2 linked regions of the Danio rerio genome follow. The protein of the gene in region 2 interacts with the protein of the main gene of each other region in a biochemical or structural test. Links are inferred from orthologs where the notes say so. Each region holds a gene or a part of one and is shown on either strand. Other genes may lie near its edges.

Region 1 (6,269 bases), on a different chromosome or scaffold from region 2:
TTCCCCAAGTCATTAAGACTCATAACTTTAATAATTTAATGTTTTATCTTGTTTCCATCCAAAGATGCAAATTAAATGTATGTGCAAACAGGAATATGGCATAAAAGATGTATAAATAAAGCAGCGTTTTCATCCAGTGAGTCAAAGAGAACAAAATGGTCACTTCCTGATTAACTGGTGCTAATTATCAAAGGTAAAAACTGAATTTGCTGCATTAGGAAAAGCTGCGTGAATCTTTATTTAATATATGACTTGCGCCTCAGAATACAATGCCAACACTCAATGAACACGTGACGTGGTGGTGTTTAAATTCATGAAACGCGGAGCAAAGGTGCTCTTGATAATTCTGGAGATCATTATTAATATAATAACACTAATACTGATGGTTAAGGCGTCAATGAATGCCCAAAACAACATTTCAGATGTTTTCCAACGTGCTCAGCTTGCTGGTTTGTCCATTAACACACATTTTTATCATCACATGATCTCTTAGAACAAAATCACATGACTTTTTAAATGTGCATACTGGAATTTGTTCTGTAAAAGTCTTTCCTTCGTAGTTTATACGCATCTTATCGAATAAAATTTTATCCTACTTAGTTTTGCGCATTTTCAAAATCTATGTGCATCTTGCCATTTCCATCGACCGTTTTTCTATGCACATATCCAAAATGCACATGAAAATAGGTGAATGGAAACAAAGCTACTGTTACTTAAATTTAAAATGTTAATGCTTTTAATTATGAAGTGCTTATTTTATTTTTAGTAGCACAATAAATTAGCGCAATTACAAACCTATTAGGTTCATCAAGGTACAGTAATACAGCAAAACTGTATATTTGTGAAATAGTATCAGAATTGAAAATGTAGTTTCAATGTTTTGAAATGTTTTGCCAGTGCCGACAATTTGTACTTTTTAAAGTTGTTATAACATATATACAATACTGGTCAAAAGTTTGGGGTCAAAAGTTACATTTTTTAAATGTTTTAAAATAAGGTTCTCCTGCTCACCAAGGCTGCGTTTATTTAATCAAAAATACAGTACAAATTGTAACATTGTGAAATGTTATCATTTAATTTAATCATTTATTCCAGTGATTTTAAAGATGAATTTTCAGCTTCAGTCACACGATCATTCAGAAATAACTCTAATATTAATTATTATTATTATTATTATTGTTGTTGTTGTTGTTGTTGTTGTTGTTGTTGTTATTATTATTAATGGTAATAGTAATAAAAGTAATAATGACTGGAGTAAAACTTTCATTTGAAACTACATACAGTAAGTAATAATTAAATATTTAATACATAGGTATTTAACATTTTTTTACAATTATTAAACGCCGCCTTGATGAACAGAATAATGTAATGTAAATTATTAAATAATTTATGATAAAAAAATGTCCCCAAACTTTTGACCGGTAGTGTATATTTTTTCTGTAAAGAATGAGATGCATTTTTAAGGGTTATTTGAGTAGAAAGTTGAAAACATTAGTTGTCCACTAGCTGACTCTTGTATTGGTCATGATGTGTCATGATGAACCTTTTGTTGCTGTTGGATTTGTGATGCAAGTTGAGGATGAATATTCTGGCTGATGCTCATGCCAGGCATTTAGCATTTGAAATAGGAATTTTAATACCACGGTATTCTCTTAATCATCCTGCAAATTCCACAGGATTAGGCATGGTAATCATATCCTAAAATTCCATGACAAGACTGTTTGATTTCATCCAGTTTTTAAAAGATCTAATCTAGCCCAATCTCAAAAACAGAGTTTGTTCTCTAATAATCATTAAAGTCAGTTTCTGATGCTCTTCTGTCTCATCCCACGTTTAGTCCTGCCACAATTTTCCCCTAAGGAACGGGGCAGCTGCCCAGACATGCTGTGTATATGCGCGTGTGTGTGTGTGGCTGGTTGACAGCTGAAGAGGAAGACCAGCAGACACAGGCATGCTCAAGGCGTGGAGACAGACTCTCCCACACCATTTTTCCAACCTCAAAGCTGCTTGACGCTCCTCCCCTGCTTACAAACTAGCATAAGAGTCCAATTCTCCCAGATGAAAGGAGAATCCTCAACACATCGGGTCTGTGTTTTGTTCCATGTGAGATTAGACATTAGTCTAGCGCCGCTAGATTATGACATTGAGGACCCTTCCGTCCAGCAGCAGTTTTGAGGAAGAGTGGGTCAGGCTGACCAAACTACCCAGCACACAGGATGACCACTATTGCCTCGCAGGTAGAGCTTTTCTGAGGATTTGTGGAGGATTTCAGGTTCAAGGACGTCTATTTGTTGGTTTTTGTGTGGACAATGTGGAAGCTTCTGCCATTCCCAGGATTTATTTGCTTTTATGCGTCTGAAGTTTGTAGACATGTTAATTCAGCTGAATTTAATATTTAGCTAGGAAATATTTCAGAGAAATTTCACCTTTGGATTTGGATCTGCTCTCTGGATTTATGTATTTGAGTAAAACATAATTCTGTAAGGGGGCGAGGCAGTGGCGCAGTAGGTAGTGCTGTCGCCTCACAGCAAGAAGGTCGCTGGTTCGAACCTCAGCTCAGTTGCCGTTTCTGTGTGGAGTTTGCATGTTCTCCCTGCCTTTGCATGGGTTTCCTCAGGGTGCTCCGGTTTCCCCCACAGTCCAAAGACATGCGGTACAGGTGAATTGGGTAGGCTAAATTGTCCGTAGTGTATGAGTGTGTGTGTGAGTGTGTGTGTGGATGTTTCCCAGAGATGGGTTGCGGCTGGAAGGGCATCCGCTGCGTAAAAACTTGCTGGATAAGTTGGCGGTTCATTCCGCTGTGGCGACCCTGGATTAATAAAGGGACTAAGCTGACAAGAAAATGAATGAATGAATGATAATTCTGTAAGGAATTTCATTTAAGGACCAAACAAGGTGTCTATGTTTTATGGTATATATTCATTTTAGACAACACAATACCAATGTTTAACTTCAGAAGAAATGAGCATTTGATGAAAAAAATATTATTCTGCTTGAATGTTCTAAATGACATTTCTATTTGTCGAAATTTGTAAGAAATCAGTCAAGCGAAAGTCAAGTTTATTTAAATAGCTCTTGTCACAAAAATTATTGTTTAAAGCAGCTTTATAAAATAATTGCATTACAATAAAAAAAAAAAGGTTTAGGTTATTAGTTACCGTAACTTCATAACTTTAACTAATTAACAAGTAACTAATAGCTTTAGCAGCTAATGTTATATATAAACATAGTTAACCTGTAGTTATATAGTGTATAGGTGATGTTCATGTGTACATGTTATCAGACTTTTACAGAATAAAACAAATATTAAACCATACCCAATTAATCCAGAGAAGCCAGATTTTATTTATTATATTTGTATTATTAATTGCAGTTTTGAAAAAGAGCCCATTGTAAAGTCGGTGTGACGTCAAGAGCAAAGTGGTATCATTTTGAATCACCTTCATTTTGCGTCAGCTAGTTTCGGTTTTATCACATGTCTTCTCTCCTCTCACCTTGGTGTTCACTTGTTTATCGACTCCTCCTTTCCGGAAACCCCTCCCTCCCACCTCCTGTAGACTCATTCTGCCCCTCCCAGAGGCCTCTTCTCATCTGAGATCTTCTGCTTTATTGGCAGACGCTTGTGTTTTCAGTTTCTCATCTGCTGTGTTTTTTTCTCTGTCTCTCTTCTGCCAGAAGCCCTGCACAGGCCGTTTGGACTGGACTCGACGGCGCTGACGGAGGCGGTGCGCTGGAGCTCCAAGGAGAATCTGCTGGGTGCTGCTGAAAGTGACCCCAACCTTTTTGTGGCACTTTACGACTTTGTTGCCAGTGGTGACAACACACTAAGCATCACGAAAGGTATGATGTGAAGGAGACGAGTAGTTGCACAATAAATTGTGGTTGGTACAAGTGTGCCGCAAGCCTACGTTTGAGTGAAGGTTTCGGCCGTTAGATCGCCCCCTGGGGGCTGGCTGCAGTACAAGTCATAAAGCCCGCCTCCTCCGTGTTAATGAAGGAGACTTGAGCCCAAATAAAAAAAAATATTACACTTGCAATAAAATGTCCCGAAAGATAGTTCTGGTCGATTAAGGCACTGGTTATTGTGCTGAAATAGGTGCAGATCTTCATTTTTGTAAACAGTTTGTTTTTAGCAGTAATTTAATGCTGGGTGTGTCATCGTGATTGACAGCGGTGATTGACAGTTTCTCAAAGCGCGGCGTCTGAGCTTCGGCAGGAGACTGAAGTAGACTGAAATGTTATTATTCGATTTCTGTGTTATTTTACCATGACAAAATGAGTTCAGCAGTAAACTATAGTTTCTGACATACATGATCCTGGTGGAACACTGTTTATTCGCTAAGTTCAGGGCTTTTTTCGGGCTTTATTAGTTTGCTGATACACGCCTAACCACCCAGATAGCAAAACACAGTTCCGGCTAGATTCTCGCCTGCCGGAGACTTATCTCTTAGAGCTCAGACTGACTAATGTTACCTCTGCTGGACCTACTCCGGATGCCTGGACTTACTACCCAATTCCAGCCCGAGTCAATCGAGCCAGATGCGGCGGCCGAGCGAGCAGGCGCTGCCGCATGCGAGCCGGAATCAGCCCGCGACGCCGCGAGTAAGTTATGCGCTGCGGCCTGGAGCTGGCGCGATTAAATATATAAAACCCTCATATTTGTTAACGTTATTACATCCATTTGTGTTGATATGACAGCAAACGCATGCTGAGAAGTTCGGGGGGCGTAGTTGATTTTACATAAAGCGTTTGGTTGGAAGCTCGACTCCGCTCATTTTCGCGGCTCCTCCTCTGGCTCCATCAGACAATCCTTCTGCGCATGTCTGGCTCCAATTTCAGCAGTCTTTTGCGACAGTTTGTGCCCGTCAAGCAGGCGTTTTGCCCTCAAGGCGTTCAATGGGAAAAAGGGCTGTCGCGTCGTCCATATTTTTTACAGTCATTGGCTTGGTATCATTGTACACTTTAACCCATGGGTGTCCAAACTCAGTTCTAGAGGGCCGGTGTCCTGCAAAGTTTAGCTCCAACTTGCTTCAACACACCTGCCAGGAAGTTTCTACTATATCTAGTTGGAGTGTAATTAGCTGGTTCAGGTGTGTTTGATTAGGGTTGGAGCTAAACTCTCTAGAACACCGGCCCTCCAGGACCGAGATTGAAGACTACTGCTTTAACCGTTTGTTCTCTATTTTATATTTTCTGCAACATGGCACTGCACAGTGTGTTGCTGTCTTCAGAGAATGTAGTTAAGAGGTTTCTCATTATTTATTTATATGTGTTAATCAGTGGGCGGAGCTAAAAGGCAGTCTTGTTGTATGGAGGCAGGATTTAGCTACTAAAGTTGCACATTCAAGCAGTGTTGCCAGCTTAGCAAATTTGTCGCTTTGTTTAGCGACTTTTTAGACCCTCTAAGTAACAAATTTTCAAAAGAGCGACTAGCGACAAATCTAGCGACTTTTTTGGGTGTTACTTGAGATTTTAATAGATTCTCATGTGCCCATACTGTATCGTTTCTACTCTTCTCAAGAAGCTGCGGGTGATACCGTCGGCCCCTCCTCTGCCTCAGAGCACTGACAGGGTAAAGTCTAGATCTGATACACGGCCGGCCGGAAGTGTGATATGCACATCAATTATAGCAGCATTTTTATGAATCTGTATAACAATAATTCATATTTTACATTACTGTGATGGTTGGGCGGGGGGTAAACATTAATAAAATACAATTAATGGGAGATTTATTAAATAATATAAATAATTCTTATTAACTTCCAGCCGCAACCATATTCAATCTAGCAATCTACCACAGTCTCTCCCACCTGCAGGCCGAGAGCAGATCACTCCTCTGCGTACTGACGGCAAATGATTTAGCACCGTGAGTGTGAAGGTATTTCCCTTGTACAGTCAAACCGATCTGCTGCTTCTTTGTTTTAAATTTAACCGTTTAATTTGACTGTTTATTCTTTTCTTGTTCACAATCACAGATATTTTAGTAAGTTTCAAAACTTGTCTGAGTTTATTACGTCAGAGAGATTACCGCAAATTCACTACACATCTATTCTGATATACCGTATTCAAACAGCAATACATTTCGTTAAATTGACATGATAACATAAAGCAAAGTGCAGATATAAATACCCCTATATTGACCATTGGCTGTTAAACAGAAACGGTAAGACGTGATGACATCAGTAATATGCAAATTGGCATATGACATAATCTAGCTACTTTTCGGGCAGAGCTTAGCACCTTTTCATTGTAAATAGTTGGCAGCACTG
Region 2 (6,424 bases):
GCTACTCTCCATTGGAAATGATTGACTTCCGGTCTGTCACAGGTCGTGTGCAGTGGAAAGGCGGCATAAAGCGGTTGCAGAATAAATAGGAGATTTAAAGAAAAAACTCAAAAAAATTGATTCAATGTTACGATTGATTGATTCATTGAAAGATTCAATGTCCTTGACATTTTTTCTTTGAAAACACACAGCTACAACAATGTGGTGTAATTGAGTTGTAATTTTTCTGATAATGAAGTACATAAAAATGCAAGAATACAACGAAATCTTATGCATGCTTTACTGTGCATTTACACCGAAAGCTGGGAGAGCATCAAAGTAGCCCGAGGTCATTCACTTTCAATGAGAGCTGGTGGCGATAAGCATAGAGGAGCAGCGTGTTTTCGTTGACGTCGAGGAATGTTTAAATCAAGTCAACTTTACTGCAATAAGCTATGACACGGTTCGAGGGCAAGCAATCAGAATGTAGAAGTTCACCGCTTGAGATGAGTCCAGAGAACACAGTCCTGTAAACTTTGATTCCGACCACAGTTGTTCCCAAGGGTTTTAGTATTGCAGTTGCAATGTTTTTTTTACAGGGACTTAAATACAAATTTTTTTTTTTAAAGTTACTGATGTGCATTAATTAATTTTATTTTATTTCGTACGGGAAATGCATGCTAACTAACGACAGTACAAAACCGTACTGCTGCTTCAGAATATTTCAGACATTTGGACACATATTGGATAAGTGGAGGAAAGCCACTGCACATACAACAACTGGATCTTCTGTAGTTAAATGAATTTACTAAAAAGCTGCGCAACATTTTCTTACTAAAATACACATTTTTATGTGGGAACGTAACTAATTTGCTGATATGCTGCAACGGCTCCTTTAAATACGGGGTTAATGTATCGATTTTTGACGCTCTCGCCGCTGGAACTGTGAAAGCCAGAGAGAACTCTGATGCTCTTGCGCCTTTGGTGTGAACACAAAGTTATTGAACAGAAATAGCCACATTATCTCAAAGACAAATTGGAAGTTAAAACATGTTAAATGTGGTATCTTTATTTGATTTTAGATGTAGCTGCATTTACCAAACAGATCATGAACTATGAGTAACTAGTAAATGGTGCTCCATTTGAAAGCTGGAGATATACTACTGACCACAGAGCTGGCTTTTACTCACAAAACGACGTGCATGAACATTGTGTTTAAATAATTGTGCAGCTCCAGTTTATATGAGCTTATAATCTTTTAAATAAGCATTTTTTTTCTTTCAAAAACTTAACACTTTGCTTCAGAAAATATTAAATAACCCACTGAGCAGTATGAATGACTTATAACACATTAATGTGCTTTTTTGAAGCAAACATTGTGTACATTTACTTGCAATTCAAAGCTAAGTCACATTAGTGTTTGTCAGGAATAGGACATATAGTAGTCCACATTTAAAGTAGATCAAATAAAGTTCTGACAATCATGGCAAGAATGGATGTTGTTAAATAGGACTATTTTAGTACAACTTAAGATGGAAGGTTTTGATCCACTTCAAATGCTGACTACTGGATACATCTAGAATAACTTGAAGGTTCATAAATGATGCAATATTTTCATTTTTATATTTATTAATATCTCAGAAAAGTTTACATTTGTTACCTCCAAAGCAAGAGCTGTCTTATCATAGGCATTGGGGACTCTCTTCTGAATCGCCCTGGCATAAACTGGGCCATTCTGTAGATTGGGTAAGGATGTGGGCTGGGCGTATTGGCCCGGTTCACCAAGCAGAGGTGGAGACTGAGTGCTGTGGCCGTCAGAGTTGCCGTGAGCACCGGACCCACTGACTGATACGCCAGGTGCACCTGATGTCGGTGAGGCAGGTCGGTACTTCTCCACATAGGGCACAGGGATCATGCCAACACGGCCTTCTGAATTCTGAGCATTCCACCATTGCTCCTCTGGCTTCTCCAGCACTCGAAGAACATCACCCTTTCGAAATGGAAGGTCCTCGTCGTCGTTGCCGGGAAAGTCGAAGAGAGCTCTGACGTACTCCTCTTCTAGCCTCGGAGGAGCTCCTCCTGTCCCCGCATTGACGCTGATGAAAGACGAGTGCTTGGATTTGCTAATGGGCTCAATGAGAGTGGTGGTGTCCAGGTAGTGGATTTTGTAGAACTCCAACAGGGCAGGTAAGGCATCAAATTCCTGATCTCCAATCCGGAACCGAGGAGGAGCAAGCCCTGCGGGATGACATTATGAGATGATGGATGGATAATCAAGATCTGCTTAAATTTAAAGGGGTAGCTCAGCAAAAAATTCAATTTTTTCACAATTACTCATCATAATGTTAACACGAAAAAAAGTTACTGAACATAGGAATTTGGTAGGCATTTTATTTCTAATATGGAGGTGTAAATGGCTACTTAATTACAACATTCTTCAAAATATCTTCTTTTGTGTTCAACAGAAAAGAGAAACTAATATAGGTTTAGAACTTTTATCGGGGTGTACATTTAAACTGAACTCTCTCTAATCCATGAAAATCTGATAAGTGTTGCAAAAACTACATAGTATAACAATGTAACATTTTATGGGTTCAACCTATGGGAAAAGCAGCAAAAAAGATTGGAAATTAAATATTGCTGATCATTTCTGCAAACAAAAAAAGTGAGTTTATGTTATAAGTGATTGACATGACCTATAATAATGCGTGTAATTCAAATGAATGACAGACACATAACTAATAAGATTGTATTTGTTATATAAAAAGTTGATAAGGTGAGACATGTATGTCGGAGTAAGAATGTAATGAAGCAGCGGTTTTAAAATAAGGGTGAAACTGAAATAAACGAGCATTTAGTCAAGATAAATATGCACAAATTAATATAAACAAACAAATAAACAAACCAAGAACACAAAATTATAAGACACGATTCAAACGAAGCAAAATGTAAGTAGATAAAATAAAGATACTTCAAAGAATCTGCTAACGTGTGAACAATTGAACAACTATGTTAAATAATGACACATATTGCAACTAAACGTTTCCTATATTATATTATAAAACGAATTTGTATACAATTTTCACATAACAAATCTGGCATCATACACGAAAGCATACAAATCATTTTACACCCGAGAATGATATTTGGGGCCCGTAGTGTACAAGACCGAACCCCTGGTTACACAGCACCCCAGAATGACGCGAGATTTTAGACTGAATATGCACAACTATTCGTAGTATAGAAGTTTCATCGAGCTGCTAAGCGCTTTGCTAAAGCAGTATTTATCCGTCCTGTCGTTAATAGTATTTAAATACATTTGTTCAAACGCTTACCTGGTCCTGACTGGCGATTGCTGCTGATGCTGTTTATTATGTAATGAGAGACTTTGGAGTTCTCCGACACAGACAGCACGTAGTCCCCGGGAATAGTGATCGAGTCCCGCACCAGGAACACTCCATGCCTCTGCCCTTGGAGCAGCGAAACCGCCTCTTGCCGGCTTAATCTCCCCCAATACCAGCTCCCTCGGTCCTCCGAATCAAAATTTCCGGCCATGACTAGCGCTAGAAAAAAGCCCAGGCTTCACAGGCCTTCCCTTCGCCTCTCCTTATCCGCAAGCAGCGTTCAACTCATGCAAAAACTTTACCGCGTTCCGTTGTTGAACACGTTTCGAATACGCGCAGCATTCGCACACTTTTCAACGCTTTTTGGCCCAATCGATTAACAAAACAATTGACGTCGGTATTCCAACGTGCATGGGACGCAAAAACCGCGGCTATTCACCCAGAACTTCTGATAATTGTCCAGTGTAAACCAAAACGTACATTGGAAGTTGTCACAAGGAAGTTCAAATATTTCAAATGGCGGACAAGGGAAACAATTTTTGACCTTATTTCCCGGAAGTGATGCAATAGCCGCCGACGCGGATGGTGTCTGTTGGTGGTCATATTGGTGCGGTCAATATTGAAAGTAAGGCCTTATCTTGTATCATTATGGAGTTTCAATCTTTTTTTAACACCAACCGTTTTTTTTATTTTTAATTTATGTAATCGTATTTCGGAATTGTTCATATGAACACAATTATAACTTCTGAATTTACATTAGTTATACTGATCAATTTGCATCGCATTAATCTTTGTATTAACCCAAATTCCGCTAAACATAACAGTTTTGTTAAATTCTAGTGAGAGGTTCAAGTGGCTGGTCCAAACAGGTTGTTAACCAGTCCAAGCGGGCTGACCCCGAAATTACCTGAGCAAACAAACATAGTGTAAGTGGTCTAACAGTTAGTCTACTAAATTTAACAAATTAGACATCCCTTTAAAACATAAGTTAAATATGATTTTCATCAACCATATTCGCTAATTTATTTAAAGGTCGAAAGTGCTGTAAATTATTACAAAAAAAAAAAAAAACGGAAGTGCGTAAACACTGTCCTTTACAAGCGAGTCCACAAAATTAGCAACCACTAGATGTCGACATCGATTACTAATAGTTTGTAGTCTTTCTACCAGTCTCACCCAGTTACAATTCAGCTCTCAAATGGTCTAATCAAACATATTGACGACCAACATTATTCGTCGCGTAACGCATAAATGAAGTGTATATTTGTTAAAGGTTTATTGGTTTTGATACCAACAACAGTCAAATACATTTTTATTTGTTTACAAATAATCATACACATATTGCTGTTCCGGTTTGTCATTCCTTGCATTTCCCTTGGTTCATTAATCATTGTGGGAGTACAGAAATACTGACCAAGTCATTGTTCACAGCTCTTCAGTGCACTTTTATCGATATATATTCCGTAATGGCACAACTTGACTAAAAGATATGGCTTTGAAACACAGCAGGAGATTTTGAGGCTACCTGTTGACCATGAAATGACATGATAAATTGAAACATATTGGTCACCTTTACAAAGGCTACTAAACCATTCATGTAGGCTAATAAACCGTAATTTGAAGATGGAGCTTAGAAAAACACTGATCATATAAGCCATAGTTCTCAAACTGGAATCCTGGATGGCCACCACTCTGCATAGTTTTGCTCCAACCCTAATCAAACACAGCTGATTCAACCAATCAAGGTGTTCAAGACTACCAGTGACTATGAAGCAGGTGTGAGTTGGAGGTGGATAAAGCTAAACTATGCAGAGCTGTGGCCCTCCAGAATTGAGTTTGAGACTACTGCTATAAGCTATTATGATGATGTTAACGCACTATAGTATTTTCACTTAAGTGAATTCAAAATAATGGGTAATTAATTAAGACAAATCTAATTTTAAAATGTCTAATTTTCATGAAGACAAATCTAATCAATACACTGTAATTTACAGGCATATTTGAACTATTTTGAATTGCGTATATGAATAATGTGAAATTTTAAGTAGGCACTAAATATAGGTATATACTAAACACTTTATCATTTTATTATCAGTGGATAAATAGAAATGAAATCTTAATATCATTTAGAGGTTAAAGGATCTATTCTAACAAACAGAGAAATCTCACATCTCTTTAAAATCCATGTCCAGCAGCAACAACAGAATATCAGTATTACAAACCAATGCGTAGCCAAACAACAATTCCATGCAGTGAGTCTTTTCTCTTTGGCTTCAGTCCTGCTGCGTTTCCCAACAATCATGTTGTTCTTGGGCCAACACTGAAAAAAGATTTTGGTTTTCCACTGTATAAATTAGGGGCACTTAATACAAGGATCTACGTCCCATCCACCTGATACTTGGGACATGCATATTCACTGGACTGAATAAAATTGAAGTTGTTTTCCAATGCTAGAGAGAATGTGATGCTTGTGCCTGTCAGATGCATAGATGTACACACCGATTCACAGCTCCATTCTGCTTGAATCCAACATGTTAAAGTGCCCCTGTTTTGCTTTTTCACATTTTAAATTTCATGTAATGTGTGATCAGTTTTTTGCAATTAAAGGGTCTAAATTAATATGATAAAACTTTTGAAATGGTACATAATATTAGTTGAATCCAGAGGTAAAACTGTAGAAATGGAAATGGCTGTTTAGTTTTTGAGAAGCGCTGTAAGTGGTTGACCAATCACAACAGACTGCGGGGAGTAACCAATCAGAAGAGTGAGTTCTCAGACAGGAGAGGTTTAAGAACATAACTGTTTCAGACACTGTGGCCCAGTCCCCAATGGCAACTTAAACCGAGTCAGCACTTCGGTAATGAAATGCCACTTTGACTGATTGGTTTAAGTCTGCATGGTGATCGTTTCATTGCGGGGCTTAGAAGTGCACATCAAGGGCTCTTAACGGCTACAAAGGGACCAGTTGCACCCTTCTGAAAGCTAAATTACAGACTTTCATACTTGGTAGCTAAAGAAACTAGCTTGCAGGGATGGTTCCCAGGGAACTAATTTTTCCGGGACTATTTTCCTAGGTTCCAACAGGAGCTCCTAAGTGATAT

Evidence for each region.
Region 1: of the proteins of crk (region 2) and abl2, one has a biochemical effect on the other in vitro, tested with the Homo sapiens proteins (2 studies listed by BioGRID and IntAct, with this or other methods). The link is inferred for Danio rerio from reciprocal best matches to the Homo sapiens genes CRK and ABL2.

What each region holds. Positions count from the first base shown.
Region 1 is NC_133183.1:16,722,033-16,728,301, forward strand, and holds the start of abl2 (tyrosine-protein kinase ABL2), read left to right. Parts: upstream 1-2,137; coding exon 2,138-2,237; intron 2,238-3,675; coding exon 3,676-3,840; intron 3,841-6,269. UniProt on the Homo sapiens protein: Non-receptor tyrosine-protein kinase that plays an ABL1-overlapping role in key processes linked to cell growth and survival such as cytoskeleton remodeling in response to extracellular stimuli, cell motility and adhesion and receptor endocytosis.
Region 2 is NC_133190.1:27,215,654-27,222,077, reverse strand, and holds the start of crk (adapter molecule crk), read right to left. Parts: upstream 3,838-6,424; 5' UTR 3,535-3,837; coding exon 3,315-3,534; intron 2,218-3,314; coding exon 1,640-2,217; intron 1-1,639. UniProt on the Homo sapiens protein: Involved in cell branching and adhesion mediated by BCAR1-CRK-RAPGEF1 signaling and activation of RAP1.